2 linked regions of the Callithrix jacchus genome follow. The protein of the gene in region 2 purifies or fractionates together with the protein of the main gene of each other region. This does not show direct contact. Links are inferred from orthologs where the notes say so. Each region holds a gene or a part of one and is shown on either strand. Other genes may lie near its edges.

Region 1 (16,032 bases), on a different chromosome or scaffold from region 2:
CACTGGAGGGGCAGGAAATCACAGGCAAGCTTGCTGCTCTGAGTTGACAGCTGGATCAGAACTTGACTATCTAGAGGAATTTTCTTGAGATTTCATCAATTATTTCTCAGGTAATCAGTCATCATATCCAGTTATTCTTCACTCAGCAGCAACAGAAAACACAGAAGTTGTGCAAAAAATAAGCACTGAAAGCACTGGAGTGCCACCCCCAACCACAGCATCCTATCCAGGTTAACTTACGGCTTCTGGCATTAGGCGATCCCCTGGGTCCTTGCAACTCCAGCCTGATGGCTCTGCCCTCAATTTCCCTTTTATTACAGGAATTTAAAGCTTCTTTAGCATCTTCAAATGAAGCAAACTCTATAAATGCATACCTGAGGATGAACAGTTAATGCTTAGACTAAGCTGCCAGGCACATGGTCCTCTGTCACATGATGCTGCCAAGCCCCTTCCCTCAAGTCCATACCTAAATGATGCTATTTACACTCATTTACATAACTAAAATGATTTGGCTTTTCTGACAGGATCACACATGACCTTACCTTCCTTTAGACCTATAAGACACACACAGACCATAACTGATGACATAAAGGTATTATCTTACCCTTTAGATTTGCCATTTTGGTTCTGGGGTACTTTGATAAAAGTTGCTTTTTCAAATACTTCCTGAAGAGTTTCTTCTGTTGCACTGTAGGAGAGGTTGCTTAAAACCAGTGTTTTTGATTCACCTGCAGACAGAGATGCCACAATCTTAAAACTTTGACACACAGGTTCCCAACTTTGCTCACAGCAGTACTATCTTATTCCTAAGAATTTCAGTGCTTGAAAGAGTTATTACACAAATACTGATGTAAGTAAAATCCACTTCTGTTACTCAACATACTGAGTACCTAGTATATATGCTGCAATGTCCTGCAGGTTGTTCTTTATGTATAGGCTGACTACTGGTCTGTTTTCCTAGAACAATAATCTAAGTTCAAAACACACATGGTTGAAGTCATTTAAAGTACAAAACATACCTACAAAGGAAGCTTGATTTGCCTACTGTGTTCCAATGCAAAATGATTTCAGAGCTCTCATTCAGGACTAGAAATTACTACTCCAATTAAGAGTATGACTAGAAGTATAATGTCCTGATCTTCACTTACGTTTAAGTAACTTTGATTAAAAAGTACTTAGGAAGTACAAAGACAAAGGATTTCTCTCCAATTCTGCAACCCTGTAACAAGCCTAATTTCTTACCACTCCAAGTGCTATTCTTTCCACCTCTATAGTCTTGATTTTGACCTTTCTCTCCAGTATAATACAGGGAAATAGATCGCCCATCAATCTCTGTTCCCTGCTTTTCTTCAAAGGTTTTCTCTGCATCAGCTTCTGTCTTAAATTCAATATAAGCAATCCTGCAATGGAGGGAGAAGAACTAGTGATTTTAAAAACCATATTAACACAAATGCTTTTACCTCAGCAACACAGAACTTGCTTCAGATCTGAGTACAATAAATGCCCTTAGTTTTATGCCAATCAAAATGCCAAACTTCCCTTCTAATTTTCAATCAAAACTTGAGCTTCCGCTTTCCCACTAAAAAGTTTTACAAAAACTCAATTTTCTTCAGTCACTTCACCTCACTGAAAGCACTGCTACTACTTACAAAACTTATTTATTATAAGCTAGGCACATTTCTTGCTCCTTTATATGTATTAGCTTGTCTTTTAAAATCACCCTATGAGTACGTTATCCCCACAGTACAGATGGGTAATTGAGGCACAGGTTTACAGATTAAATGGCCCACGATTACACCTAAGAAAATCAAACCAACATTTCTTTTGTTAATGCAGGAAAGTGCGTTAATGTTGTAAAAACCTTAAAAACCCCAACATTTCAATAGACAGAACATACCCTTTACTTTTCCCATCCTTGCTGACTAATCTGATCTCCGCAGCATCTTCAAACACTTCTTTTAATTCATCCTGAGTGACTTTGTAAGGGAGATTTTTAGCCAAAAGTGTTCTCGCATCTCGTTCTAGATTAAAAAATAAAAATTAGCTGTATGGCCTAAAAAAACCCTGAACATTTAGCGACAATAAAAGTGGGGCAAAAACAGACATAGCTCTATTCAACAAATAATTTGAGATCCCATGATATACAAGGCTCTGTGCTCAATATGGAGATACCGCGGTGGCAACACACAAGTGGTCCCTCCATGTTGTCACAGCTGATGTCAAACTATCTGTTCAAACTAGAGTTCAACCTAGAGTAGATGTGCATGATTTTTAGAAACAAACAAAAAAATGAATATACCAATTTAAAACACTACAACTGTATCGAGAAAAAAAGCAAAGGATTCAAACCGTAATTAGGGACCTACTCTAGTTTCAGTGAAGACAGAACCCTTTAATTTAGGTGCATCTAATCTTATTCTCAATGAAAGTGCTCATTTGCCTAACTCAGGAATTTACACCGTAACACTAGCAAGCAGCACCGAGTACTCTTGTAAACACTAACTCATTAAATCCCGCATTAAGAAAGCAGGGTAAACATTTTTTTAAAAATAAAAGGAGCCGGGCGCGGTGGCTCACGCCTGTAATCCCAGCACTTTGGGAGGCCGAGGCGGGTGGATCACGAGGTCAATAGATCGAGACCATCCTGGTCAACATGGTGAAACCCCATCTCTACTAAAAATACAAAAAATTAGCTGGGCATGGTGGCGCGTGCCTGTAATCCCAGCTACTCAGGAGGCTGAGGCAGGAGAATTCCCTGAACCCAGGAGGCAGAGGTTGCAGTGAGCAGAGATCGCGCCACTGCACTCCAGCCTGGGTAACGGGAGCAAAATTCCGTCTCAAAAATAAATAAATAAAATAAAATTTAAAAAAATAAATAAACGGGTTCCAAAGCATTCTCCCTAGCAGTCTAGCGCCTGGGTTTGCTGCATCATCTCCTAAATCACTACATACCTTTCTTACTGTCTTTTCCTTTTGGTTTCTCTAGTTTAATTTCATTGCCAAAGACTTTCAAACCAGTAAGTTCCAAGGCTTTTTCCAGGTCTTCAGCAGATTCAAAATCCACATAACCAAATTTCCTTTGAGGTGAAGAAGAGGGCAAAATTCCAACAGGTGAAAACACAAATCGAAATCCACAATATGTATTCCAGACAAATGTGATGGTACAAACAAAGATCACATTAAAAAGCACCACTGGTATTAGCAAAATAAAGTCAAGGCTCTGCAAATTGTAGCTACAGAACAAGGTCTTAGTGTGAAGATATGACATGCACATTCACCTCTGAGGTCCTCATTACTAGCTAAATTGCTTCTAACAACTGACCACAGCAGCTGAAAAGAACACCTATAAGCACTAATACAGGAGAATCCTGTCTGGATAAAAGCATTCACTGTGACTAGTCAAGTCTAACAGTTTTAGGTACTTCCAAAAAAATAAACATCAAATTATTATTTTAAATTGAGACAGAGTTTTGCTCTGTTGTCCAGGCTGGAGTGCAGTGGCATGATCCTGGCTCACTGCAACCTCCATCTCCCAGGTTCAAGCAATGCTCCTAACACCAAATTATTAAAACTTACTGGCCGGGTGCTGTGGCTCAGGCTTGTAATCCCAGCAGTTTGGGAGGCTGAGGTGGGCAGATCACAAGGTCAGGAGATCGAGACCATCCTGGCTAACACGGTGAAACCTCGTCTCTACTAAAAATACAAAAAATTAGCTGGGCATGGTAGCACATGCCTGTAAGTCCCAGCTACTCGGGAGGCTGAGACAGGAGAATCTCACTTGAACCCAGGAGGCGGAGGTTGCAGTGAGCCAAGACTGCACCACTGCACTCCAGCCTGGGTGAGAATGAGACTCTGTCACAAAAAAAAAAAAAAAAAAAAAAAAAAAACAAACTAAAGATTATTCCATCCTATACTAAGAGTTATCCTATATTAAAAAATTGCGCTTTAGGGGCTCTATAATTTGATTTTAACTTAGTTCACTAATGCTAATCCTTGAAGATGTTTACATTATTCATGTTTAAAAGCACCAGGCTAAAGTGCTAATAGGGGAGGGAAAGGCGTTAACAGACCCATGTGTAAGATGCAGGGAAGCACTTACCTAGTCATACCAATTCTGACATCCACAACAGCAAGATCATTTTTAGCAAAAACATCACTGATACCAGTTTTTAATTCAGGAGCAGATTTGTTAAAGTTTAGGTTTCCAACAAAGAGATTGAAAGCCGTGGTCGGTTCTGTGCCTATTCAAAAAAAGCTGAACTCAGTCTATTTGTAAAGTGTGGTAAAAAGTTTCCAATGCAAAATTTCTATACACAGCACATCAGCACACTGCAAGGTAACATCAAGTTTCAGTATTAAGTCCCTTTGTCATTCATCATTTGTGCTGTTTATCTCCCCCACATCCCCCAATTCTGCAAGTTACCTTCCACCTTCTGTTTCTTGGCTTCAGGAGCTGCTTTCTGTTTGGTCATTTCCTTCTTTCGTTTTCCAGATGCTTCTTTGACAGGCTCTGGACAAGATGTCAAACAATGTATCACCCATCAATAACCACAAACACTTAAGTGTCTCCTTTAAACATCTCATGTCAATGTATGTCAGAATCTAATTTAATTACCTTCTTCTTCCTCTTCTTCCTCCTCGTCCTCATCATCTTCCTCCTCATCCTCATCATCATCTTCATCATCATCCTCGTCCTCATCATCCTCTTCATCTTCATCTTCAGCTACGTTCTTGGCTTTCACAGAAACAGGAACAGCTTTTGCAGCTTTCTTTCCTTTGGCTGGCGTAGTCTCCATAGCTTCTTCTTCAGAGTCTGAAAGAAAAGCCACCTAGTCAAAAAATTCCAGCAATCACCAGAAATAAATAGCGGTTTTAAAATCTAATGGACATAAAGTGTAGTCCTGTCACCATGGTTAGTTAATAGTCATGGCAAGAGTAGACCACTTAGGGTCAGGCACAGTGGCTCACACCTGTAATCCCAGCACTTTGGGAGGCCAAAGTGGGTGCATCACCTGAGGTCAAGGTTCGAGACCAGCCTGGCCAATATGGTCAAACCCCACCTCTACTAAATATACAAAAATTAGTCAGGTGTGGTGGCAGGCACCTGTAATCCCAGCTACTTGGGAGACTGAAGCAGGAGAATCGCTTGAACCCAGGAGACAGAGGTTGCAGTTAACCAAGATCATGCCATTGCACTCCAGCCATGGCAACAGAGCAAAAACTCAGTCTCAAAAAAATTTAAAAAAAAAAAAAAAAAAAAAATCACTTTGAACCAAAATCCTGTATTATGAAAAACAATCAGACTATGCTGTTGAAATTTTCTCAAGGCACAAAATCATTAATGGGTAATTAAGTCTGGCACACAACAGCCCAGAGAATTCCCACAAGGATTCCAATCTCACCTCCAGGATCTCCAGGTTGTTGTGGAAGGAATACATAGTATTGCTCCCAGAATCAAGATAACTTGCAAACAGAAGCCTAGTAACTACCAAGAGAACGCCTTACCATCTTCATCATCCTCATCCTCCTCATCATCATCTTCATCATCCTCATCGTCCTCATCCTCTGAGGCAGGGGCAGCAGCTGCTGCTTTCACCACTGCTGGTTCAAATTCATCATCATCCTCATCATCGTCATCATCCTCATCTTCCTCACTGTCATCCTCCTCTTCATCACTGTCTTCCTTCTTGGCATTCTTGCCATTCTTTGCCCCCTTGGCTGGGATGGCAGCACCCTTCTTACCAGGAGTTGCTACCAATGCTTTGCCTGGTGTGGCTCCCTTCTTGCCAGGTGTGGCGACTGCTTTGGCCAGTGTAACTGTCTTCTTGGCAGGTGTTGCTGCTGCCTTTTTGCCTGGAGTGACAGCTGCTTTCTTGGCCGGTGGGGCAACTGCAACCTTTTTTGTTGGGGAAACTACCACTTTCTTTGCTGGGGTTGCAGCAGCCTTCTTGCCTTTCTTTTGAGGTATGACAACCTTGAGAATAAATGAAAACCAAACCAGTAAGAAGACAACCATGGTCCCAACTAGTGTTAGATTCTGTCAATGCCTATGGTTCAAGACCACAAGCCCTAGACACACGTTACCATGTTAAACTCCATATTATCAGGTGAATATCTAGGAATAAGGAACCCTTCTGAACACTTAAAATACCTCTGAATTCTCATACCTCATACTTTCCCAAATCCCAACTTTCTCACCTGAAAATGGTAATAGTATCATCCTTACATGTCTAAGGAACAGGAATTGCTATGTGTAAATTATTCACAACCGTACACATAGGAGGCTCCAAGCATTAACTGTTATTAAATCATCTGAGGCTCCTACAGTAGGTGCTGGTACCAAGCTTGGTGAAGCTCAATTCTTAAGATACGAGATGAAATGAAGATCAAATAGGCTGAATATCCCTTACAAAACGATGAATCCACCATTTAGCTACATTAATAAAGTCCCACTGAAATCTGCTTTTTGATTACTAGTTTTATCAGGCAATGTATGGAAAAGTAACTTTTATTCAATTCTCAAAGAGAAGTCTGAGCACAATTCAGTCCTCACTTGTCTTCATAGCGAACAAATAAATAGCCAGGAGTGCTAGAGGGTAAACGTTAACACAAAGGGCGGTGGCAGCCCTCAGTCTACACCAGAGACAACAGTAACACAGTGAGTAGTGTAATGGAATAGAGACCAATTAATCTTAAATGGAGCCTAGGAAAGGAATCTGGTAAGGTTATCCTCAGATCTGAATACAACGCCCAGCTCTGCCATTGAGAGAACAGATCTTTCCCTTGTGTCTAAAATGTGGGGGTGAGGATAACATGTTGAAACTGGACAAATGTAACGATTCAGCACAACAAATCACACTCCAAGCCCTGCAGAGGCACATGGAAAGGAGATCCCCAGATCTGTCTCAAACTCACATTCAAATATTTAGCCAAATGACATCTTGACATGAACGAAGAGCTTGTGAAACACTCGATCACTACAACAGGAGATACGCAGATGAATAAAATCTTATTTTTATCATAGACATCCAATTTCATGTCCTAACTCCCCATTTTGTAGTTTTAACTTAATTCCGCATTGAGTTGGATGAAATTACCTCTTCTCCGCTGCTATCATCTTCTTCTTCTTCTTCCTCTTCTTCTTCTGACATTTCCTCATCTTCACTATCTTCTTCTACCTCCTTTGGAGGAGGAGCCATTTTCTTGGGGTCACCTTGATTTTTACCTGCCTAAAATGGTAACAAGTACATCATCACATCTTCACTTCGACATTTCAGGCCATTCACGTTTTGCCATTACTGTTCAGTGTAAAACGCCATCATCTCCTTCCTCAGATCCATTTCTCATAGGGCCAAACAGCACAACTAACATAAAAACTAGCCCTAATGGCAATGCAAGAGGTCCTGCTCTCAACCGCCCACACATGTTTGCTGTCAGGCTCTACAAACAGAAAATCAAACCTACGGTAAAAAGTCAACCTGAAGAAGTGAAGAAATCATTTCTTCAGGTTGACTTTTTACCGTAGGTTTGACTTTTTTTTTTCCTTAGGCTTTCTAAGTACACCCGTGTTTTAGTACTTCAAATCCCGGAACCTTATTCTACAACCCTTATCCAAATCCAAATCCAAATTATGAGTGAAGATCATTAAGGCACTTAAAAAAAATACCTTGGTTTTCTGATGAACGTTATTCCTTTCCCAGCGAGACAACCCCGCCCCTAAAAGAGGCGGCGCGGCCACGTGGGGGTACCTGGTAGGCCACCACGTGCCCGAAACACCGCGGCAGAGCCACCTTCCGGGGCCCACCACGTGTCGGCTTGCCGGGCAGGGGCAGACATCCCGAGCGCAGCCGGTCCTCCGACTCGGGCCGATACCGCCATTTCCCACCCTAACGCACCACTCCCTCTGGAGATTCCCGGACCCACGCGGCGAGGCCCACGTGGCAGGCCGCGCTCCCGGGCACGTGCGTCAGGAGTCGGGTTCTAGCTCGTACGCGTCGCATCTCGTACGCGAGATGAGTCTGGTCTCATCTCCTTGCCCCGGGGCCTAGCGCCCCCTCCCCGCGCTCAGTGACTCTGTCTTTCCCGCCGCGTTCGCCGCCCCCAACACCTGCAGAAGCTCTTCACCTCGCCACCAAGTAGCCAGAAACCGCGAGACCTCCCCACTAATCGCGCGAGACTTCCCGCAGCATGGCGCCCTCGAACGCGGCCGGGACTGCGCGCAGGCCCTCCTCCCCGCGGCGCCGCGCTCACCCCTCGGAAAGCAGGCCTAGATCTCGGTGCTCGCACTCAAGGCCGCTTACCTTCGCGAGCTTCACCATGACGACAGCTTATGGCGGCGGAGTGTGGAGCGAGCAAGTGACGCAGATGAGCCCAGAGGGAGCCAAGCGACGGCGATGGCGGCCGCGGTACTGAAGATCCCGGAGCACGTACACCCTAAGGACAGCGAGAGCTCGAGACTGAGGCGAAAGACAGAGCCTGCCCAGTAATCGCCTGTGGAAAGACGACGACGACGCCCTCGTGACTCCGCGCCGGCCAACCAGAGCTCGCGGCCGTCCCTATGAGCCAATCGCGAGCTTCTAACCAAGAACGGCGCGGGGCTGGGAATGGGCGGGCCGAGACGGCCACGGGAGGGGGAGGTGCTGGCAGCAGCGGCGTGGGGGCGGGGCTCGCTTTGTGGAAGGCCCGCGCTGATTGGGCCGTGGGCGCGCGGGTCCCAGCCTGCGCCGTGGGACTAGCGTTTTTGGCGCCGGGTGTGAGGGGAGCGCGGGGGTGGTGTAAATCGGGCGGCCTTCGTTTCTCTAGCGTGGTTGCATCTCTAGACTCCGACAGCCCTGAGGTTCGAGGCCTCAGAGATCCCGCGCGCGGCCCCGGCACGCACTCACGCCGCGGCTCCCGGCAGCCCTGAGCGAGGAGCCCTCCAGCGCCGGAAGTTCAGGGACCGCGGAGTTCCCGTTGGCCCTTTCGGGGGCACAGCTTCGCCCTGATGCCCGCGAGCATGGGGCCGGAGACACCCTCGGCTCCAGGCAGCCTCCTGAGAGCTCTTAATAAAGGCAGTGGCGGGTCTGTGCGACGTTTTCTGTGAGAAGTGCACGAACCTCCCCTACCCCACAGAACCTCAGGCGGGAGGTATTTCTGGTCACGGGAAACAGCCTCGGAGAAGTAACTTTCTGGCCTCACATGGCAGGGAGAGGTGCCTGGGCGGGCTGACCGTAGAGCCGGGCCTCTGGCCGCCCACGGGTTCCCTGGTTGGTATTACGCGCCAGTTAAGGTGGTGGCTGCGAAGTCAGCGTCACCAGATGGCCCGGGAGCAGGTCGGGAGCCACCTGCAGGGCTCCCCCGCGGCAGAGCAGAGGAGGCCGCCAGGGACTTCCATGGGTCGCTTTGTGGGTGGGTCTCAGTCGGTGCCAGGCTTAGCAAACCAGAGCATTTCCCTCCGTCCAGGGCCTCCCTGAGATCCTTCCCATCCATAGATCCAGGTGTGGATCCGTCCATACTTCGTCGTTCCTACAGAACCAGGATACCTGCAGCTACGGCCGGACTTGTTTAAAAATCACCTGAGTCTGGGCGCGGTGACCCACGCCTTCAATCCCACCACTTTGAGAGAACGAGGCCCTTGAACTGGCACAGCGAAGGCTGCAGTGAGCCGAGATCGTGCCACTGCACTCCAGCCAGGGCGACAGAGCCGACACTCGGTCTCAAAAAGAAAGAAAATTACTTGTTAAGGCCGGGCGCGCTGGCTCATGCCAGTAATCCCAGTACTTTGGGAGGCTGAGGCAGGAGGATTGCTTAAGTCCAGGAACTTTAGACTGGCCTGGGTACAGTGCGACGCCCTCTCTACAAAAAAAAATAATTAGGGGGGCAGGGTGGAGCTCACCTGGAGTCCCAGCTACTCTGGAGGCTGAGGTGGGAGGATCGCTTGAACCCGGGAGGTGAGGTTGCAGTGAGCCAAGATCGCACCATTGCACTCCAGCCTGGGCAACAAGAGCAAAACTCCGTCTCAAAAAAAAAGGACCCTGTCTCAAAAAAAGAAAATTGTTTGCTAAATGAGTGAAGTATTTAGGTAGAAGCAGCAGCAGGGAGAGCCCGCATAAGTGGCATTGCTTTGGAGTTAGTCTGGGGCAGCAAAATAGCAATATCTAACACTTCATAATGCTGACTCAGGCCAGGCGTTCTTCCATCTCTTCACATATTCATTCACTTGCTCTTCAAAATAACCTTTCCAAAAAGGTATCACTGTTTTACAGAAACTGGGGCATAGAGGTAAATTAACTTGTCGAGGGTCACATAGCTAGCAGTGGAGTAGGATGTAAGTGAAGACACTGCTGCGACATTCCACTTTCTTTCTTTCTTTTTTTTGAGACAGAATCTCACTGTCACCCAGGCTGGAGGGCAGTGGCAGGATCATGGCTCACTGCAGCCTTGACCTCCCCAGCTCAATCAGTCCTCCCAGCTGAATCAGTCCTCCTGCCTCAGCCTCCAAAAGCACTGGGGTTATAGATAAGAGCCACCACATCTGGCCTATTTGTTTCTAAATGCTCTTTTGTTTTGAAAATGTGAGTTATTTATTGAATTGTAAAGTACACACATAGTACAAATTCAAAAGATTCAAACAGATGTACAGTAAATGAAGTCTCCCTTCCCTCCCTGTCCTCTAGGATTCCCAGTCTCAAGGCAGTGCCAGTCTATTGTATATCCTACCAGATTCAGTCATACTTGCAAATAGACAAGTGTATTTGTTATATTTAATGCAAACGCTATCATATACACTGTTCTGAACTCTCCTTTTAACTATGTGTATCTTGTAACTCATCTACATAAACACACATGGAGCTGCCTCTTTTTAAATAGCTACATGGTGTTCCTTGTGTGGAAGGATCACAATTTATCTAGTCACCCTTGCTGGTCCATTTAGGGTTGTTTGCTATGTTTGGCCATTACAAACTGCTATAGCAAATAACCTTTTCACATGCTTTATTTTACACAAATCATCTGTAGAACAGCTGGGTCAAGAGTATGGCCTTTTACATTTGATAGATGTTCTCCCAAGTACTGGGTTATCTGCTGCCCGTGAGCTCCAAGGCTGGGAGACAGTGCTTCACATTTAGCAGAGGAGGAACTAGATGGTGGGGAGGGGTATGACCATGGTTCTAATTCTTGTGGGGAATGTGACAGCCTCAGCCACCAGCCCAGAAGCTCCAGGGGTACCACTGCCTTGAGTGGTCACTGGCTGCCTCTCCAGGCCTGCATTGACCTGGCCCAACTCTGCCTGCTGCTGTGGCCTGGCTGCCCCTCCCTATACCTGTGTAGCAAGGCACCCACTTGGGGCACCCAGTGGGCACTTCTGGTCCCTGAGACTCAGTGAGCCATAGTGGGCCTCACATTCATGCTAGGGTCCCACAGCCCAATGGAGGGGGTCTGCAGGCTTCCAAGGATTAACTCCACTTCCCAGGTCTGGGGCTCTAGGAACTAAGTATCTCGGTTAGGCTCCAACCAGCCAAGAAAAACCACACTGAGTATTTTAAAAAGACGGAGTAAGGGAGTTTAGTGCAGGGACGTGGTGACATGAGATAGAATTGCTGATGAGAAGCCAAGGGGACTGAGCAGGAAGCAGCTACCCCCTACTCCAGGCTTTTCCACTGAGGGCCATGATGAGGGGCCAGGCTGCTGCCAGGGAAGCTTCAGAGGGTCCAAAGGTGGGGATATCCTGTGTCTCCCCTGCTCCTCCCCTTGAGTTGCAGGTGGGGCTGGCCAGATTCAGCCAGCATCCAGCTCACAAAGCCTGCAGGGTGAGCCCCAACCATGGTGGCTGAGCAGGACAGGGCTGGGCACCCCAGCTGGCTGGGAGGACCACAGCCTCAGCTTCCAGAGCTCCAGGTTTGCCTGAGGCCTGGGGTGTTTGTTGTGAAGGTCCGTTTACCAGCCCAGCCTGCTTCTGTCTTTCAAGTTCACTGAGGCCCTGTGCATACTACCCAGAACTTCCCCAGCACTTTCCCCCAGATGCCAAAGGGGGACCCCAAGCTCTTCCTCCCTTGCCAGGCCTTGCTTGGGGTATTAGCAAGCCTTCCCCTTCAGGAAGCACCTGTGCCTTGAGGTCTCAGGGGCCAGAGCTAGAGAACCCAGCCTCTGTCTTCCGGAGGCAGCCTGAGAAGCTTCACCTGCTCACCCAGAGGTAGAGTCAGCCCCCTGCCACCAACCTCAGGCCCTTGAGCCTGCTGGAGGAGGATACTGAGGGCCCAAGATCGTTGCTATCCCCAACTTCCCTGCTGCACCTCCCAGGCTTCTCCATCTAGGAGGTGGGGCCCTGCTGGAGAGAATCTGGATGATGCAGATTTGGGGCCTCCAAATGCCCTGCCCTCCCAGCAGCCTCCCTGGTAGCAGCCCCAGCTGCTAGCCCAGATAGATCATCTTCCAGGAGGTCCTGACCGTTCTCATTTCCATCTCCTTGGCCTTCTATGCCAGGCCTCTTCCCTCAGACCCCTCATCTCTCCTTCTCTGCCCTCTCTGTCAACAGAGTTACCCTATCTTCTCCTTCAAAGGGAAGGACAGACCCACCCTCTGGTTTACATATATTCGCAGACATCCTGAGCGCTCCCTGCCACCCCAAGGAAACCAGTCTTTCTCTAAAGCACCCCTTCTCCTGTGCCAGCGAGCCCCTCCTCACCCCTCCTGGGGGTCCCACAGCAGTGACCTCCTCAGCTACCACCCGCCATTTTTTGTTGTTGTTGTTTTGAGACTCACTCTGTTGCCCAGGCCAGAATGCAGTGGTATGAACACAGCTCACTGCAGCCTCGACCTCCCAGGCTCAAGTGATCCTCCTGCCTCAGGCTCTACAAGCAGCTGAGACTACAGGCGTTTCCTGCCACACCCAGCTACTTTTTGTATTTTTTATAGAGACAGGGATTTGCCATGTTGCTCAGGCTTGTCTCAAACTCCTAAGCTCAAGTGATCCTCCTGCCTGGGCCTCCCAAAGTGTTGGGGTTACAGGCGTAACACTGTGCCTGGCCTGCCACCTGCCATTCCAATACCTCCCTCCATTCCATTGCCCTTTGCAGGAACAAGCTCCTGGGAAGAGTTGACAACAGTTGCTCGCAGCTCCACTAGGACCCCCAGGTTCCCAGCCCCTGCAAGTGGCCTTCACCCCTGCCTTCTGCAGACACCCTCTAGCCAAAGGACACCTTGCAGACCTTATCTCTTATCTCTCTTGACCCTTCTGCAGCTTCTGTCTCTTGAGTGCATCCTCCTTGGAGCTTCTCCTCAAAGAAGAGTGTTGCCACCCTCTCTCTTCTCAACATTCTCTCACTGGTAACCCCCTTATCCAGTGGCTTCAGCTACCATCTGTGTGTACCCCACCTACTTGGAGCCACTCCTCCAAGCAGCTCCTCCTTCCTGTGGGCAGTGTCATCTGATGGTGCCTAGCTCAGGGGCTCTTCAGGAGCAACTTTCTTCCTCAGTAACCCAGTGGCTTGGCAGACAGCTCCCTTTGGTGCCCTATAAAATTTCAGATTCTCCGGGCGCAGTGGCTCACACCTGTAATCCCAGCACTTTGAGAGGCTGAAGAGGGCAGATCACCTGAGGTCAGGAGTTCAAGACCAGCCTGACCAACATGGAAAAACCCTGTCTCTACTAAAAGTACAAAATTAGCCGGGTGTAGCAGCACATGCCTATAATCCTAGCTACTCAGGAGGCTGAGGCAGGAGAATTGCTTGAACCTGGGAGGCAGAGGTTGTGGTGAGCTGAGATTGTGCCATTGCACTCCAGCCTGGGCAACAAGAACAAAACTTACTCTCAGGAAAAAAAAAAACTTCAGACTTCAAGTAAAGTGTTCCACTCTGATTTCAGCCTCTTCCACCCGTGAACTGCTGTCTTTCCTACCTCAGTAAAGGAAAAAGAGCTCCCAGCTTGCCTAGCCAAGAGCTGGGATGTTGTCTTAGTCGGCTGGAGCTGCTATCACATTAGATGGGATCCCTTTTAAACAACAGAAATGTGTTGCTCACAGTTTTGGAGGCTGGAAGTTCAAGATCAAAGGGTCTGCGAGGGCTTCTCTCCTAGACCGTGCCCTTTTTGCTGCTTCTTCACAGGCAGAAGGAACCCAAAGGCCCCTGTAAGCCCCTTTTATAAGATACTAATCCCATTCTTGAGGGAGGAGCCCTCAGGAGCGGATCACCTAAAGGCGCCAGCTCTTCATACTCTTGCCTTAGGGATTAGCTTTCAACATATGAATTTGGGGGGACACCAGCATTCAGATGGTAGCATTGTCTAGACCCTGCCCTCTCCCTCAACTCCCAGACCCAGGGCTTCCCCTGGCCTGGACTTCGAGTGTCTCTGGAATGGGTCCACTCTGCTTTCCACTGCCCCTCTCTTACTGCCCCTTCTCAAGTTCCTGCCTGGATTAACATAGCCATTCTGACCTGTCTTGCCTGTATCTTAACCCACCACACGGCAGCCACATCAGTTTTCCTCAGCAGCAGATACAAACACATTCTTCTAATTGAGGGATTTCAGTGACTTCTGACAGCCAGCAAGAGAAAATCCAAGTGTCTCAATCCACCACTGAAAAGTCCGTGAGGCTGGGCATGGTGGCTTGCTCCTATAATCCCTTTGGGAGGCCGAGGCAGGTGGATCACAAGGTCAGGAGTTTGAGGCCAGCCTGGGCAACATAGTGAAACCCCGTCTCTACTAGAAATACAAAAAAGTAGCCAGGCCTGGTGGCAGACACCTGTAATCCCAGCTACTCAGGAGGTCGAGGCAGGAGAACTGCTTGAACCCTGGAGGCAGATGTTGCAGTGAGCCCAGATCGCACCAATGCACACAAGCCTGGGTGACAGAGCAAGACTCCATCTCAAAGAAAACCCATTCCTGCTACAGAGAGGGGGTCTGAGGTGAGGTAAGGCACTTGCCTCAGGCACAACACTTAAAAACTCAATCATTGAGATAAATAATATTTAACTGCAATTTTTTTTTTTTTTAATTTGAGACGGAGTTTCACTCTTGTTACCCAGGCTGGAGTACAATGGCGCAATCTCGGCTCACCGCAACCTCCGCCTCCTGGGTTCAGGCAATTCTCCTGCCTCAGCCTCCTGAGTAGCTGGGATTACAGGCACGCGCCACCATGCCCAGCTAATTTTCACCATGTTGACCAGGATGGTCTCGATCTCTTGATCTCATGATCCACCCGCCTCGGCCTCCCAAAGTGCTGAGATTACAGGCGTGAGCCACTGCGCCCGGCCTTAACTGCAATATTTTTTAATTACTAGGAAAAATTCATAATGAAAAAAGTCAGAAATTTATCTTATATTTTTGAGGCAGAGTCTCATTCTGTGACCCAGGCTGAAGTACAGTGGTGTCCCTTGGCTCACTGCAATCTCTATCTCCTGAACTTAAGGGGTCCTCCCACCTCAGCCCCCAAGTAGCTGGGAATACAGGCATGTTCCACCATGCCAGGCTATCTTTTAATTTTTTGTAGAGATGAGGTCTTGCCATGTTGCCCAGGCTGATTTCAAATCCCTGGGTTCAAGTATTCCTCCCTCCTCAGCCTCCCAAAGTGCTGGGATTATAGGCGTGGGCCACTGCGCCCGTCAAAATCAGAATTTTATTTTAATTTTATTATTATTTTTTTTCCTGAGATGGTGTCTTGCTCTGTCATCCAGGCTGGAGTGCAGTGGCCCAATCTCAGCTCACTGCAACCTCCACTTCCTGGGTTCAAGTGATTCCCCTGCCTCAGTTTCCCAAGTACGTGGGACTACAGGGGCCCACCACCATTCCTGGCTAACTTTTTTTTTTTTTTCAAGACAGAGTCTCCCTCTATCAACCCAGGCTGCAGTGCAGTGGCGTGATCTTGGTTCACAGCAACCTCCACCTCCTGAGTTGGATGATTCTCCTGCCTCAGCCTCCCAAGTAGCTGGGATTACAGGCACCTGCCACCATGCCCAGCTAAGTTTTGTATTTATAGTAGAGACGGGGTTTCACCATGTTGTCCAGGCTGGTCTCAAATCCCTGACCTCAAGTGATCCACCCGCCTCAGTCTCCCAAAGT
Region 2 (15,313 bases):
TGAGCTGACCTTATTAAAGTTGTAGAAGTGAAATTAAAACTGTGGTTGGTATCTGAATAGTCTGGGAACTAGGAATAGTGCCCAGGATGGGCTGCTGAGCTACTAGGGTTGTAGAAGATGGGACACTGGTAACAAAACTTCCTTATCCCCTTTTCCTTTTCTTCAGGTAAGGGCTCTGTACATATCACATCTCTAGAAGCCACAAAATCCTGAGTGAAGAGACTGGTGTCACCAGCTTGAGGGCAGTCTCGAAACCTGTCATATTTTAATATTCCCTCCCAGCCATCATCACTATCTACCCCAGAGAGGTCAGCTCCCTCCATTGCAGGGCAGGAGTTCTAAGTTAGAATCTCCACTTCTAGACTTCCCAGGACAAACCATTTGTGATAAGGTCAAGGTGGGAAGGAGTTAATTTCAAAGGAACAAGTGACCTTTCCCCACGCCCCACCCCCTTCCTCACCCCTATGTGGAGATCCCACTGACATCCAACCACACCATTCCTCACCCCATAAAGATCCTCTTTATTTATAGACTCTATAAAAGCTTTTTAAGTCTCCTATTTCCCAAGAGAGCTTTGGAATGTCAGTCCACTGCCCTGATTCTAGCCCTCCCCGCTCTCCACCCCTAGTAAGACCTGGAGTCCCTGCTACCACGTGTCTGACCTCCCAAGCCTTTCCTATATGGTATTCAGGCTCCCCCTGCTGCTGAAATAGGAAAACTTCATATTGTTCCCTTTGATCATAAGAGAATCTTTCCTGATTACTTTGGTCTTGACCTACCCCCACCCCACTGCTGTGACTTTGCCTTCAGCTCTCCCTAAAATGAACTAACCAAACCAGAGGCCAGAGTTACATGTGAATCTATAAAAGGGCCCTCTTCCTCTAAAGGGAGGTAGTCCCAGAATAACAGAAGCAATCAAGGAAAGAAGTGATAAAAGAAGATACAAACTTTTAGTAAAGGGGAATGACCAGGTGAAGTACAAATGGCATCTACCCAAGCGTGGCTCACCTTGCAAGTCGCACCAGCAGCAGATAATTAGATATGAAGCTCCACCCCACCCAACTGTCCCAGAATTGATACCTGAGGTAGCTCAGGTGAAGTCCGGGGCTCCTGTGGGTCTCCACCTCCACATCACTGCTGGGTTCTGGGCAGGAAAAAAACAGAGACTTGGGTGGGAGAAGGAGTAAGAGTGGAGGTGGCTGTCCTCCACTCGATGGAGTGGTTGTCACAAGAAAGAAATCTAACAAAACGGCAAAGCTTTGGAAACGTTAGGATTTCCTTAGTGTTCAAACTGAGCTTCTCCACTTGTCCAAGGGAGAAGTGGCCAGTAAGCAGAGTAAAAGATAAAACTAATTCGGAAGGGCTGGGAGGATGGGTTGGAAAACCAGCCCTGAGTGAACAAAGGGTGTGGGGCGCCCTGCCTCAAGATGAAAGAGGATGTGAGGGTCAGAGGGCGGCCAAAGGTTGGAGTTAGTAATGCCAAGTGAGGAACCTTAAAAGGGCAGCGTCTGACAGTGCAGTGGAATGGCCGATTAGACTTGGGGGCAGTGATTGTGACGCTTCCCAACACCCTAGAGTTTGCGAAAAAAGTCCTAGGAGTTTTCCCGCAGCAAGTCTTCTAGCTTGGCAGTTTCCGTGCAGTGCCGCCGGCGCTCAGCCATGGACTACGTGAATGGGACACTAAGGGCGCGCGAAGTGAAGCGGAGAGATGGGGCTCCAGGTGTCATCAAGCTGAGGGGATGGGCAGAGCTGTGACGTCACGAAGCTGGCGTTTGCTCGCGATGCGGGGTCAGTCAGAAAAGGGGCACTGCCCTGGGGTGTGAGGAAGAGCCAGCTCGATTCTGGGGGGACTTGTGCGGCCCGGCCGAGCCCAGCAGCGGGGCTGGCCCGACTCCTCCCCTCCGGGCGCGGCCTCCACCTAAGTCTCCCGCCTCCCTCACCTGCCGCCGCCGCCGTAGTTGCTGCTGCCGCCTGCCGGTCCTCTAGCTTCGACAAAGAGCCGCCCACCCGAACGCTCTTCCGCTTCCTGCGGAAGAAGTGACGCTCTAGCCACCAGACCCGGAACCATACTCTATGGTGTACGAAGTAGGCGTGCGACATATCGCAGGAAGTTCCCAGCACGCTTTGCGTGTCACCATAGCAACCCAACCCAAAAGCACGACATCAAGTCCAGAAAGCGGTATTCTGAATGGCAGACCTACTGGAAAGCAAGGGCGGTACCACCAACAGCGCCTAATAACGCACGCAACCTAAAACGTGCCTCCAGGGGCGTACCATACCCTACCCAACTCCAGCCAGGTGCAAACCACACCACTTAACCCTGGCTTTTGCCTTTCTATCCTCCATAGCACAGGTAGGGACAGGGCAAACTGTACTGATAGAAAACCCCGACCCGATGGAACCATAAAAAACACGTAATAGACGAGACGATTTAATCCTTCAGCTAAGACAGCGGAAGAGGTGATTTATTTTATGGTTGTTACACTCGGCCACAAGTAAACACAGAAATAGTCCAGAATGTCACAGGTCCAGGGCAAAGGACCAACATGGGCAGTTTTGGTTATGAGCAAGGTGGGTCTCAGAGGTGATCGGCGATCAGATGGCGATGAAGTTCTAGATCCATTGAGACAAGCTCTAGACAGTAGCATGCAGTCCCACAACTTGTACCAGCATCAGCAGCGCCCGGCATTCCATGTTTCTGCTCCTGTGGCCTCCACGGTGCAACAAGTAGCGGTTTACTTGGACCTCTGCCTCATCTTTCTTCTTTTGCGCTTCAGCCTGAAAAGCAGACACAGGAATGGAATACACTTTCTATTCTTAAACCAGAGTTGTCTTCCCCTCCCACATTAAATCAAACGTGCTTAGAATGCACGAGGTGGTAAAATGAACAAGCATTACGATTCTATCGTCCTCTGTTCTGTTCAATCCTTTGCTCTAAGAAGAAAATACTCAAACGTCTTTCTCCTAAAGCTGTTTTAAGATTTCCAAATCAAATATTTCTCGTCCAAGGAACACTCCCCCTTCCCTTCTCCTGGACTGGCAGTCTCAACATACCTGCGCATTCGTTTCTTCCTCCACTAGCAACCGATCACAAACAGCAGAGAATTAAAAAAAAAAAAAAAAAAAAGAATCTTATTAGTGGGTTTAGGAGGGATATGAAATGCACTCTTTAGAACCCGACAGATTCTTAACCAAGTATGCAGCACTGGTCGTAGCAACTACATCAGTAACTTGGACACCCTCCCAACATAAAATCCGAATTATACCTTTTTCAACTCCCACTCTCTTTCCCCATAGCACTTAGCCACTAGCCTCTCAGCTTCTCTCACTAATTTTCCTCTCCCATCAACTCTTGGGCACCCCTGAAAACCTGTAGTTCAGGAACTATGGCGGACTTGCCTTGCCTTAGTCTCCCATTACTACTCGCCAACTCCTACTTCCCAAGCCTAATACCAGGAACCGCTCACCTTGGCTCTCATGGCGCAGGGGTTTCTACGGAGAAAAAGAGAAAAGCTACAGTTAGTTTGCTGTGATGATGGTAAGTGCAGAGATCAGATGTCAAAGGATTGTACATGGAATCCGAACACAGAAACCAACAACACTCACCCAAAAAAAAATGGCGCTAAGGCCGAGAGAAAGCCGAAGTTCCGTCTACAGCTATTTAATAGAGCGCCGGGTGTCGTCACTTCCGTTTTCCCGCCCTTTTTCCCCCCCACCGGGCGGGGCTACCCAATGGGCGTAACAAAGGTTTTCGGCCCCTCTTAGCGAAGGACTGTTGGGTTAGGTGTTCTCCGGAAGACAGAGAATTTGGTTTTGGAGTTACCAGTTCCCCACCCCACCAGATTTAGTACGAGGACACTGTGTTATTTAAACGTCAGCACCTATTTCCAATATAATAGTGACCGCCACTTTCCCTCGCATTGTTTCTTGGGAATTGCAGTTCCTTGGAGAAGTCCTCCATTTTGCTGTGGAAAGGCGCGGACTGTACAGAAATTATTGTTTTACTGGTTTGTCTTCTTTTCTTTATTATTTATTTATTTGAGACAGGATCTCACTGTCACCTAAGCTGGAGTGCAGTGGCGCGATATCGGCTTACTGCTACTTCCGCCTCCCAGGTTCAATCGATTCTCCAGCCTCAGCCTCCCGAGCAGCTGGGACTACAGGCGAACGCCACTTGGATAATTTTTGTGTTTTTAGTAGAGACGAGGTTTCGCCTGTTGCCCAGGCTGGTCTCGAACTCCTGAACTTAAGCCATCCTCCCGCCTCGGCTTCCCAAAGTGCTGGGATTACAGGGATGAGCCACCGCGCCCAGCCGGTTTACGTTATTTTCTAAAATAAATTGCTGCAGGGTGATTCGATTCCGGAACTATCGATGGTACCAAGAGTTCAGAACGTAGGAAGATATAAAGTGGGGAGTCGGGAAAGCTGCCGTACTGCAAAAAATATTCTCACTGTTTAAGATAGAGCAATTTTTTTCCCTAAACTTCAGGAATAAAATAGCTGACTATGGTCTTTCCCTACGATGCCTGAAGCAAAATATCACTAGGGAATCCTGGCTACAATGCATGGCTATGTTAAGAAAACACATAAGCGGCGGGGCACGGTGGCTCATACCTGTAATCCCAGCACTTTGGGAGGCTGAGGTGGGGGAATCTCGAGCCCAGCAAGTCGCGGCTGCAGTGACCTATGCAGTGGTTCTCTAGGGGTGAAGAGTGAACCAACGGACATAGGGAGAAAATTAGCTAAATCTAGAAGTATGACATTTGGTGTTAAGATAAAGAACTTCCCAGTCTTATTGTATACTCGGGTGAGCAGCACTGGAAAACAACCAGATCCCATAAGATTTGGCTACAGGAAACTTTTCAGTTAATGAACCCTTTCCTGACCTGGCGCGGTGGCTCACGCCTGTTGTCCCAGCACTTTGGGAGGCTGAGGCGGGCAAATCATCTGAGGTCAGGACTTCGAGACCAGCCCGGGCAACATGGTGAAACCCTATCTCTACTAAAAATACAAAATTAGCTGGGCGTGATGCCACATGGCTGTGATCCCAGCTACTTGGGAGACTGAGGCAGAAGAATCGCTTGAATCTGGGATGTGGAGGTTGTGGTGAACCCAGATCATGCTATTGCACTTCCAGCCTGGACAAGAGCGAGACTCTATCTCAGAAAAAAAAGTAAAAGAAAAAAAGAAAAGCAAAGAAAAACAACGCTTTCGGGCCGGGCGCGGTGGTTCACCCCTGTAATTCCAGCACTTTGGGAGGCCGAGGCGGGTGGATTACGAGGTCAAGAGATCGAGACCATCCTGGTCAACAAGGTGAAACCCCGTCTCTACTAAAAATACAAAAAATTAGCTGGGCATGGTGGCGCATGCCTGTAATCCCAGCTACTCAGCAGGCTGAGGCAGGAGAACCGCCTGAACCCAGGAGGCAGAGGTTGCGGTGAGCCGAGATCGCGCCATTGCACTCCAGCCTGGGTAATAAGAGTGAAACTCCGTCTCGGAAAAAAAAAAAAAAAAGAAAAACAAAAAGAACGCTTTCCCTATACATACAACATTTTATAGTTTAACATACTGTAACATTTTGTATGTGATTGTTACAATCCCTCCTTTTTTGCGGTTTTCCTTTATTATATTTCTAGCATTTCATTTTCAATTTCTGAAAAACTTTTTTTTTTTTTTGAGACGGAGTTTCACTATTGTTTACCCAGACTGGAGTGCAATGGTGCGATCTCGGCTCACCGCAACCTCCGCCTCCTGGGTTCAGGCAATTCTTCTGCCTCAGCCTCCTGAGTAGCTGGGATTACAGGCACGCACCACCATGCCCAGCTAATTTTTTGTATTTTTAGTAGAGATGGGGTTTCACTATGTTGACCAGGATGGTCTCGATCTCTTGACCTCGTGATCCACCCACCTCGGCCTCCCAAAGTGCTGGGATTACAGGCGTGAGCCACCGCGCCCGGCCGAGACACTTTTTTTTTTTTTTGAGATGGAGCCTCACTCTGTCGTCCAGGCTGTATTACAATGGCAGGATCTGGGCTCACTGCAACCTCAGTCTCCCAGGTTCAAACCATTCTGCTGCCTCACACCCGGCTCATTTTTGTATTTTGGTAGAGAGTAGAGACGCGGCTTTGCTATGTTGGTGAGACTGGTCTCAAACTCCTGACCTTGTGATCTGCCCCCCTTGGCCTCCTCAAGTCCTGGGATTACAGGCATGAGCCACTGTACCCTGCCTTATATATGACAAATTTTTTGAAACAAAAAAAATCCTAGCAGAATTATTTTGTATCAATTCCACCAGGATTCCAATTGATGATTGCCAACTAGTCTATAAGCTCTTTGAGGGAAATTTTTTTTGAGACAGAATCTCGCTCTTGTCACCCAGGCTGGAGTGCAGTGGTGTGACTTCAGCTTACTGCAACCTTCACCTCCCCACCTCTATCAAGCAAATCAAGTGATTCTCCTGTCTCAACCTCCCGAGTTGTTGGGACTACAGGTGTGTGCCACCAACACCCAGCTAATTTTTTGTATTTTTAGGACAGGTTTCACCATGTTGGCCAGTCTGGTCTTGAACTTCTGACCGCAGGTGATCTGCTCTCTTCAGCCTCTCAAAGTGCTGGGATTACAGGTGTGAGCCACCGTGCCCAGCCTTTTTTTTCTTTTTTTTGAGATGGAGTTTTGCTCTTATTACCCAGACTGGAGTGCAATGGCGCGATCTTGGCTCACCACAACCTCTGCCTCCTGGGTTCAGACAATTCTCCTGCCTCAGCCTCCTGAGTAGCTGGGATTACAGGCATGCACCACCATGCCCAGCTAATTTTTTAAATTTTTTTAGTAGAGACGGGGTTTCACCATGTCGACCAGGATGGTCTCGATCTCTTGACCTCGTGATCCACCCGCCTCGGCCTCCCAAAGTGCTGGGATTACAGGCATGAGCCACCGCGCCCGGCCACCCCCCCACCCTTTCTTTTTAATAGACTTAAATTTTTAGAACAGTTTTAGATTCACAGCAAAAGTGAGGAAGGTATAGATATTTCCCACACATATAGCCTCCCCTTTATTTATTTATTTATAGACAGAGTCTTGCTCTGTTACCCAGGCTGGAGCGCAGTGGTACGATTTCGGCTAACTTTAACTTCTGCCTCCTGGGTTCAAGCAATTCTCCTGCCTCTCAGCCTCTTGACGAGCTGGGATTACAGGCATATGCTACCACACCTGGCTGATTTTTTTTTGTATTTTTAGTAGAGACGGGGTTTCACCACATTGGCCAGGCTCGCCTGGAACTCTTGACCTTGTGATCTGCCCTCTCAGCCTCCCCAAGTACTGGGATTACGGGCTTGAGCCACTGTGCCCGGCCTAGCCTCCCTCTTTATAAACATCCCTCCACCTTGCCAGAGTGGTACATTTAACAACTGAACCTATATTGACATACCATTATCACTCCAGATCCATATTTTAGTTTACACTAGGGTCCACTCTTGGTGTTGTACATTGTTTGCCTTCAGATAAATGTGTAATCAAGCAGAGAGGGATGAACAGGGAAAACACAGAGGATTTTTAGGGCTCTGAAACTGCTCTGTGTATTTTAATGGTGGATATGTCCTATGTTCACATTTGTCCTATGTTCAGTTCTGTTCACAATGCCTGACATGTAACAAGATAAACTAATTACCCATCTGACCTCAAGTCTGGCCCTGAAAACTAGCGTACCAGACATTCTTCCTGGCTTCCTGAATCAAGATAAACATTTGTAGTGCTGTTCTTGCAATACATATTAAGTGTCCTAACCCCAAACAAATCTTAGCAGAGGACCGTTTCTACTTAGAAAATTACATCACCCAACTCCAGCAGATAATTTACTATATCATCAAAGATTCTAGGATTTGTGTCTTCTGCAAGTCAAGACATTCCTCATTTTAGGAAGGTAGATCATGGCACTGGAGAAAGTTCCAGTACTACTTCAACTGACATGCTCCCCACCTCTATCAAAGCAGCATACAAAGCACAACATTATGAGCAAATCCAAATTTATTTTAATGTCATGTCATTTTCAATGTGTTTAAAAACCTCATAAGTTAGTGGGAGCCCTAGTTTCCTGGGACAGCATGCCAGAGGTACTGAAATATGTCACCTTTCGCTACAAACCCCCAGCAATCCAATCCAAGTCCATAGCTTCAGAAAGCCAGGAGTTGTATCTTCAGTCTACTCCTCTGGTTCTTCCTTTTTCTTTCAAGGGAGGGAGATCACAATATTTCAAACAGGGAACAAAACCAGTTGAGCTTCCAGCTCAGGTTTGTGTAAGATGGAGTGAGGGAAGACCCCACTGACTCCAGAGAAAAGGGTAAGGTTGAGATGAATTATTTCTTTACAGCTTTGTGAAAATGGAAGAACAAAGATTTACAAATGAGGATCCATTTCATAGATGAGAATCTCTTCATAAATCAAGGTTCCAACTCCTAAAATGGGAGGGGCCTGACTGGACGGCCTGAATCAAGATGAGGAGTTGGCCACACTGAATAAAAACAATCTGAAAAAATAATCCTCCTAATTTTGAAGCCAGATAAAATACTTGGGGAAAATGGGAAAAAGAGAGGAAAAAGCCCCAAACAGATGGAAAAACGCTGATGTCAGAGTGGTATAAAAAAATTCAGCTGAGTTTTCAGTGGCGGTGGCTAATTTAGCCCTGTTCTGTGGTAGGGCTACAAACCTTGACCAAGCAGACAGTAGTAGAAAAGGCTAGAAAGAGGGGCTTGAAGACGATGAATTTTGACTCCTGATTTTATTATTCAATTTCTTTTTTTCACTTAAAGTAGTCTTCCGTGGTTGGGAAGCCTTGCCTCCCAAGACCAGAGTCAGTTGGAGCTGGTTGTTGTTGGAAGGGAGTGGGCTGGGGAACTGGGGTCGGGGCAGGGAGACCCCCTGCTCTGCTGGCGGTCCTAGGTTGAGAAGAACTGCACTTCACAGAGTCTGGGGTGTAGTGGGAAGGGGATGAGGCAGGAGCAGCAAGCTGGGGAGATGGGACCCACCTCAGTCCCCAGCTTCATTTTCTTCTAATGTTTCCCCACTGGTGGCATTCTCTGCAGTCTTGGAGGCCTATATGCAAGAAAAGGAGAGGGAGAAGATGTGGCAGTTTCTAACTATTTGGGGGGTAGTGTCTGGGACTAGAGATACAAGTTTTTTATTTTTAATTTTTTTTCTTTTAAGAGATGAGGTTTCTCCATGTTGGTCAAGCTGGTCTTGAACTCCTGACCTCAGGTGATCTGCCCACCTCAGCCTCCCAAAGTGCTGGGATTACAGGCGGCGTGAGCCACTGTGCCTGGACTTTTTTTTTGAGAAAGACTCACTCTGTCGCCTAGGCTGGAATGCAGAGGTACATCATGGCTCACTGTAGCCTCAATTTCCCTGGGCTCAGGTAATCCTCCCACCTCAACCTCCCAGGTAGCTGGGACTATAGGCACATGCCACCATGTATAGGTTTTTTTTTGGTATTTTTTGTAGAGATGAGGTTGCACTATCTTGCCCAGGCTCATCTTGATCTCCTGGGCTCAAGTGATACTCCTGCCTAGGCCTCCCAAAACATTGGGATAATAGTTGTGAACCACCGCACCCTCAGCTAAAAAAGTATCTCAATCCTCTGGGTCACAGTTGAAATAAAGATATATAAGTCTCTGACTTACAATGGTCAACTTGTGATTTTTCAACTTCACAACAGTGTGAAAATATGGATATTTCGATACATGATAATTTGTTGAATAAGTGTTTTGAGCACACTGAAGGTAGGCCAGGCTAAGCTTTGAGGTTCCTGGTAGGTTAAGGTATATCAAATCCATTTGGAGCCAGGCATGGTGGCAGCTACGCAGCAGGTTAAGGTGGGACAATCACTTGAGCACAGGAGGAGTTTGAGACTACAGTGAGCTATGGTCATGCCACTACACGTCAGCCTGGGTGACACAGTAAGATCATCTCTCTCTCTTTTTTTTTTTTTTTTTTTTTTTTTTTTTTTTTGAGATGGAATTTCGCTCTTGTTGCCCAGGCTGGAGTGCAATGGCGCGATCTCGGCTCACTGCAACCTCCGCCTCCTGGGTTCAGGCAATTCTCCCGCCTCAGCCTCCTGAGTAGCTGGGATTACAGTCACGCGCCACCATGCCCAGCTAATTTTTTGTATTTTTAGTAGAGACGGGGTTTCACCATGTTGACCAGGATGGTCTCGACTCTTGACCTCGTGATCCACCCGCCTCGGCCTCCCTGGGTTCTCGTGGGATTACAGGTGCCCACCACCACAACCGGCTAATTTTTTTTTTTTTTTTTGAGACGGAGTTCCAAAAAAATGGAATGATTACCTAGACTGGAGTGCAATGGCATGATCTCGGCTCATCGCAACCTCTGCCTCCTGGGTTCAGGCAATTCTCCTGCCTCAGCCTCCCGAGTAGCTGGGACTATAGGCGCACGCCACCATGCCCAGCTAATTTTTGTATTTTTAGTAGAGACGGGGTTTCACCTTGTTGACCAGGATGGTCTTGATCTCTTGACCTCGTGATCCACCCAACCTCGGCCTCCCAAAGTGCTGGAATTATAGGCGTGAGCCACCGCGCCTGGCCCCTAAATTTTTATATTTTTAGTAGAGATGGGGTTTCACCATGTTGGTTAGACTGGTCTCACCAGACCTCAGGTGATTCACCCACCTCGGCCTCCCAAAGTGTTGGGATTACAGGTGTGAGCCATTGCAGCAGGCCAAAAAAATTTTTTTAATCCATTTTGACTTACTTTCAATTTATGATGGGTTTACTGGGACAAAGCCCTATCATTTAAGCTGAGGAATATCTGTACAAAAATCCGTATCCCACCATGACCTAATACAATGGGAGAAAGAGGGATCAGGTTCACCCTGCCAGAGAGGGATGATCACAACACACCTTCTTTTTTTTCTTTTTCTGGGTTTTTCGACTTGCAGAACTCTGGAGGAGGGCCTGGAAAACAGGAAGAAGGAAACAAATTTTGAGAAATGTGGAGGAAATTTTTTAAAAAAGGGTTACTTTCAGTACTGTAGCTCTTTTTAGGACTTTGCTGGCATTTAGCCCTCACTCCCAGGACAGGTACCATATACATCCTCACCACCTTCTATTCCATACTAACCTTTAGCTCTGCATCCTGGACCTCCATCTCAGACTTATAGAGGTCAGGCTCAAAGGGACCGCTGGTTATCCGCATGGGGCCATTGGGCATGAGCAGAACTGTAAATTTAAACTGGGCAACAAATTCACCTATGGCAAAAATGAAGATGTATTTTGATAAAACACTCCTTTGTTGTCATACTTAGGTCTTCTGAACTTATATGAAGGATATCATATAATCAGGGAATCCAAAGTGAAGCTCTTTTTAGAACTTACCCTCCTTCTCATAGAGAACATTAAATGGTTGCAGCAGTTCATGTTTGGCGCACTCTACCACACCCATCCGAGCCTTCTTCTCATCTTCAAATGCTCTGGCAGGGGAAGATGATATTCAGAAGTATTCTTAACTCCCCATCAAGTCTTACCATTTTGCTCATATTTTAAAATAGCTCCTACCCTCAGGCAGAAATCATGCTTAGGATTGCTCTTTTACATTACCTTCAGTGAGAAGGAGATGGGGAGAGAGAGGGAGGGAGTGAGCACGTGCACGCTACAAGTCTAGGCAGGAAGGGAGAGGAAAAAGTGTTCCTGGGTGTATGGTCTGTGAGTCAGACTGGTTCCAAGTACTATCATTGCTATGTGTAGTACCTTAAAGTAAATGGCATGGCATCAAAACGCCTTTCCACCTCACTGAAGAAGGCACGTGAAGTTTTCATTTTCAGTCCATACTGTTTAGAGGGGTCTCGTTTATAAATAGTGGTTCTCTGTCCTGCATCCTTGGCCTGCAAGAGTAATTTAAGAAATATTTGGTCTGGCAAACACTTTCAGTCACCCCTCTTTGCCAACTGTGGTACTCTCCTCACCTTGCCCTCTCCTGAGCTGACGAGAACATCCACAGCATATACTTCATGTACCTCAAATTCAGCTTTTTCATGGTCCTTCCTAAAAGGAATACAGAGAAGGTTTTTTTTTTCTTCAGACAGAGTATCACTCTGTCGCCCAGGCTGGAGTGCAATGGCGCAATCTCAGCTCACCGCAACCTCCGCCTCCTGGGTTCAAGCAATTCTCCTGCCTCAGCCTCCTGGGTAGCTGGGAGTATAGCTGCATGCCACCACGCCTAGCTAATTTTTGTATTTTTTTTCTTTTTTATATTTTCATGTTCTTCACAGACAAGAATTTTCTTTTTTTGAGACGGAGTCTCACACTGTTGCCCAGACTACAGTGCAATGGCGTTATCTTGGCTCACTGCAACCTCCGCCTCCCGGGTTCACGTGATTCTCCTGCCTCAGCCTCCCGAGTAGCTGGGGTTACAGGTGCATACCACCACACCTGGATATTTTTTTTTTTTGAGATGGAATCTCACTCTGTCGTCAGGCTGGAGTGCAGTGGCGTTATCTCAGCTTATTGCAACCTCCGCCTCCCAGGTTCAAGCAATTCTCCTGCCTCAGCCTCCCAAGTAGCTGGGATTACAGGCACACACCACCATGCCCAGCTAATTTTTGTATTTTTAGTAGAGACAGGGTTTCACTATGTTGACCAGACTGGTCTCAAACTGGTCACCTCAGGTGATCCACTGGCTTGGGCCTCCCAAAGTGCTGGGATTACAGGCATGAGCCACCACGCCTGGCCTAGAGAACGGGAATATTAAGAGCAATAGGTCACTCCTGAAAGCAAGGAGTAGAAGGTAGACAAGATTCAGCTGGGAGTATAGAAAAAAGTCTGATGACTAGTTTGGTAGAAGGTGATGAGTGGGGTTGGCACCTACTTCTGCTGGTCTGTGGGATTCTGGATAATGGTTTTTTCTCCATCGATGACATGCTGCTTCAACTGGTGTGACAGCATACCTGTAGACAGGACATAGCCTATGGAACAAGCTATCCAGAACCCCAAAAGGTTTCCAAATCCACCCACTTCAGTAGTTTGAAGGGGCAGGCAGTGAGAAAGTACCTGGCTATGGAAACACAGGGCTCTGAGATTTCTGGCTTTGACTGGGCTATAGCCAGGATAAATCTTCAAGGGAGCAAAAGTCTGAATTCTGCAAAGCCACTCATTCTTAGACCCTCAACCCTGTTAACTGTTCTCACCTTCTATTGGCGTGCAGTTAAATGAGTGGGCAACTTTGTTCCAGGCTTCTGTCACTTGTGTATTCTAGAAGTACAACATCAAACAAAAGGTGAGATATCAGGAGCTAATAAGTTCTCTACAATGCGAATAAGAAGCATAAAAGAACTGAGCTTTCTAATATCCTCCATCCAGTACTAATGATTCTCATTCACTGGATTTTCATTTCATAGTTCGATTATCCTTACAATCTAAAAATACTTTATATAGATGCTCCCAACTTATAATGGGGTTACATCTCAAAAGAACTCATCGTAAGTTGAAAATATCACTAAATCAAAAATGCATTTAACTGGGCACAGTGGCTCATGCCTGTAATTCCAGCACTCTGAGAGGCTGAGGCGGACAGATCACGAGGTCAGGAGTTTGAGACCAGCCTGACCAACATGGTGAAACCCTATCTCTACTAAAAATACTAAAATTAGTGTGGTGGCACACCCCTCTAATCCCAGCTACTCAGGAGGCTGAGGCAAAAGAATCGTTTGAACCTGGGAGGCGGAGGTTGCAGTGAGCCAAGATTGCGCCACTGCACTCTAGCCCGGGCGACAAAGTGAGACTCCATCTCAAAAAAAACCCAAAAAGCATTTAATACACCTAACCTACCTAACATCATAGCCTGCCTACATTAAGTGTGCTCAGAACACTTAGAAAACATTATCCTACAGTTGGGCAGAATCTAAAACATGCCTATTTTATAATAGTGTTGACTATCTCATGTAATTTACAAAATATGTGGAAAATGAAAAATGGAATGGTTGTATGGGTACTCAAAGCATAACTTCTACTGAAAGCGCCATCAAGCCGAGGAACAGCTGTATTTGCATATCATTTTACCCAGTGCTTTCACAAAGATGGTCTAATTTGATAAATTTGGCAAGTGAACAGGGCAGATGTATATCCCAATCTAGAAGACAAGGAAACTGAGTCTCAGGTTAAATTATTTGCCCCAGGTTAAATGACTGTTAAGTGAAAGAACTTGGTCATAAACCTGGGTTTTCTTTTTTCTTTTTGTAGAGACGGGTCTTGCTGTGTTTCCCAAGCTGGTCTCAAATTCCTGGGCTCAAGCAATCCTTTCACTTTTACCTTCCAAAGTGCTGGATTTACAGGTATATGCCACTACACCTGGGTTTTCTGATGTTAAGTCCAGTGTTAATCCTTTTATACCTGGCATTGTTATCAGTTTTGTGGAGACAGCAAATGCTTATTTTTCCTTTTTCTTTTTTAAGACATAGTTTCATTGTCACCCAGGCTGGAGTGCAGTGGTGTGATCATAGCTCACCACAGCCTCAATCTTCCAGGCTCAGCTGATTCTCCCACCTCAGCCTCCCTGGCAGCTGGGAATACAGGTGCACGTTACCACGCCCAAGTAATTTTTGCATTTTTTGTAGAGACGGGGTTGCACCATGTTTCCCAGGCTGGTCTTGAACTCCTGGCCTCAGGCTATCCTCCTACCTCGGCCCCACCAAAGTGTTGGGACTACAGACATAAGCCACTGTGCCCAGCCAAATATAGCTAATTTTAAAAGCTGTTTTATAATTTGGAACTGGATAAAATAGCTTACCTGGTTTCCAGGTTTGACCAACCGTAGGGCAGCTTCAGCACAAAGGTGAGCTGCCTTAATAACATCTGCTTTCCTCCCGGTTACTTGGGTCCCCTGTAGATAAGGACATGCAATCAGTGTCTTCCTGGAAAGCTTGTTAACTCAGCTGGCTATCTGGTTAATATCTGTGAGCCCATATGTGAAGGCCAGCTAATGAACAGGAGAATAAAAAAAAAAAAAAAAACACCTTTATCCTTCTCCTTTTGCTTCTCTAGAGACTCTCTCAACTTATGTGGTGATTGGGGGTGGGGATAAGAAGCAAATGGCAGTTCGTTCCCCCCATCCCCAAAGCTAAACAGAGCTCAAAAGCAGGCCACCTACCTGAGCTACATCAACCACAAAAGTATGAGCTACATTAGCGATGAAGCCATCCACATGGACCCCAAGGTCACTGAAAAGCAAGATCAGAGTACTGCATTAGGAACTAGCACTTTGTAAATACTTTAAAAAAGAAAAATGCTTCAAAACAGTTTGACCGACCTGCCCC

Evidence for each region.
Region 1: the proteins of PA2G4 (region 2) and NCL purify together in Homo sapiens (affinity purification with mass spectrometry; 3 studies listed by BioGRID and IntAct, with this or other methods). This does not show direct contact. The link is inferred for Callithrix jacchus from reciprocal best matches to the Homo sapiens genes PA2G4 and NCL.

The regions. Positions count from the first base shown.
Region 1 is NC_133507.1:152,896,249-152,912,280, forward strand, and holds the start of NCL (nucleolin), read right to left. Parts: upstream 8,459-16,032; 5' UTR 8,319-8,458; coding exon 8,301-8,318; intron 7,889-8,300; exon of another isoform or gene 7,667-7,888; intron 7,230-7,666; coding exon 7,098-7,229; intron 5,975-7,097; coding exon 5,506-5,974; intron 4,814-5,505; coding exon 4,616-4,813; intron 4,511-4,615; coding exon 4,424-4,510; intron 4,387-4,423; exon of another isoform or gene 4,317-4,386; intron 4,242-4,316; coding exon 4,100-4,241; intron 3,078-4,099; coding exon 2,953-3,077; intron 2,022-2,952; coding exon 1,898-2,021; intron 1,401-1,897; coding exon 1,243-1,400; intron 729-1,242; coding exon 605-728; intron 375-604; coding exon 241-374; intron 131-240; exon of another isoform or gene 51-130; intron 1-50. UniProt on the Homo sapiens protein: Nucleolin is the major nucleolar protein of growing eukaryotic cells. It is found associated with intranucleolar chromatin and pre-ribosomal particles. It induces chromatin decondensation by binding to histone H1.
Region 2 is NC_133510.1:63,548,421-63,563,733, forward strand, and holds the end of PA2G4 (proliferation-associated protein 2G4), read right to left. Parts: intron 15,218-15,313; coding exon 15,148-15,217; intron 14,881-15,147; coding exon 14,788-14,880; intron 13,254-14,787; coding exon 13,190-13,253; intron 12,950-13,189; coding exon 12,871-12,949; intron 12,048-12,870; coding exon 11,969-12,047; intron 11,888-11,968; coding exon 11,754-11,887; intron 11,477-11,753; coding exon 11,382-11,476; intron 11,256-11,381; coding exon 11,128-11,255; intron 10,962-11,127; coding exon 10,908-10,961; intron 9,088-10,907; coding exon 9,022-9,087; 3' UTR 8,005-9,021; downstream 1-8,004. UniProt on the Homo sapiens protein: May play a role in a ERBB3-regulated signal transduction pathway. Seems be involved in growth regulation. Acts a corepressor of the androgen receptor (AR) and is regulated by the ERBB3 ligand neuregulin-1/heregulin (HRG).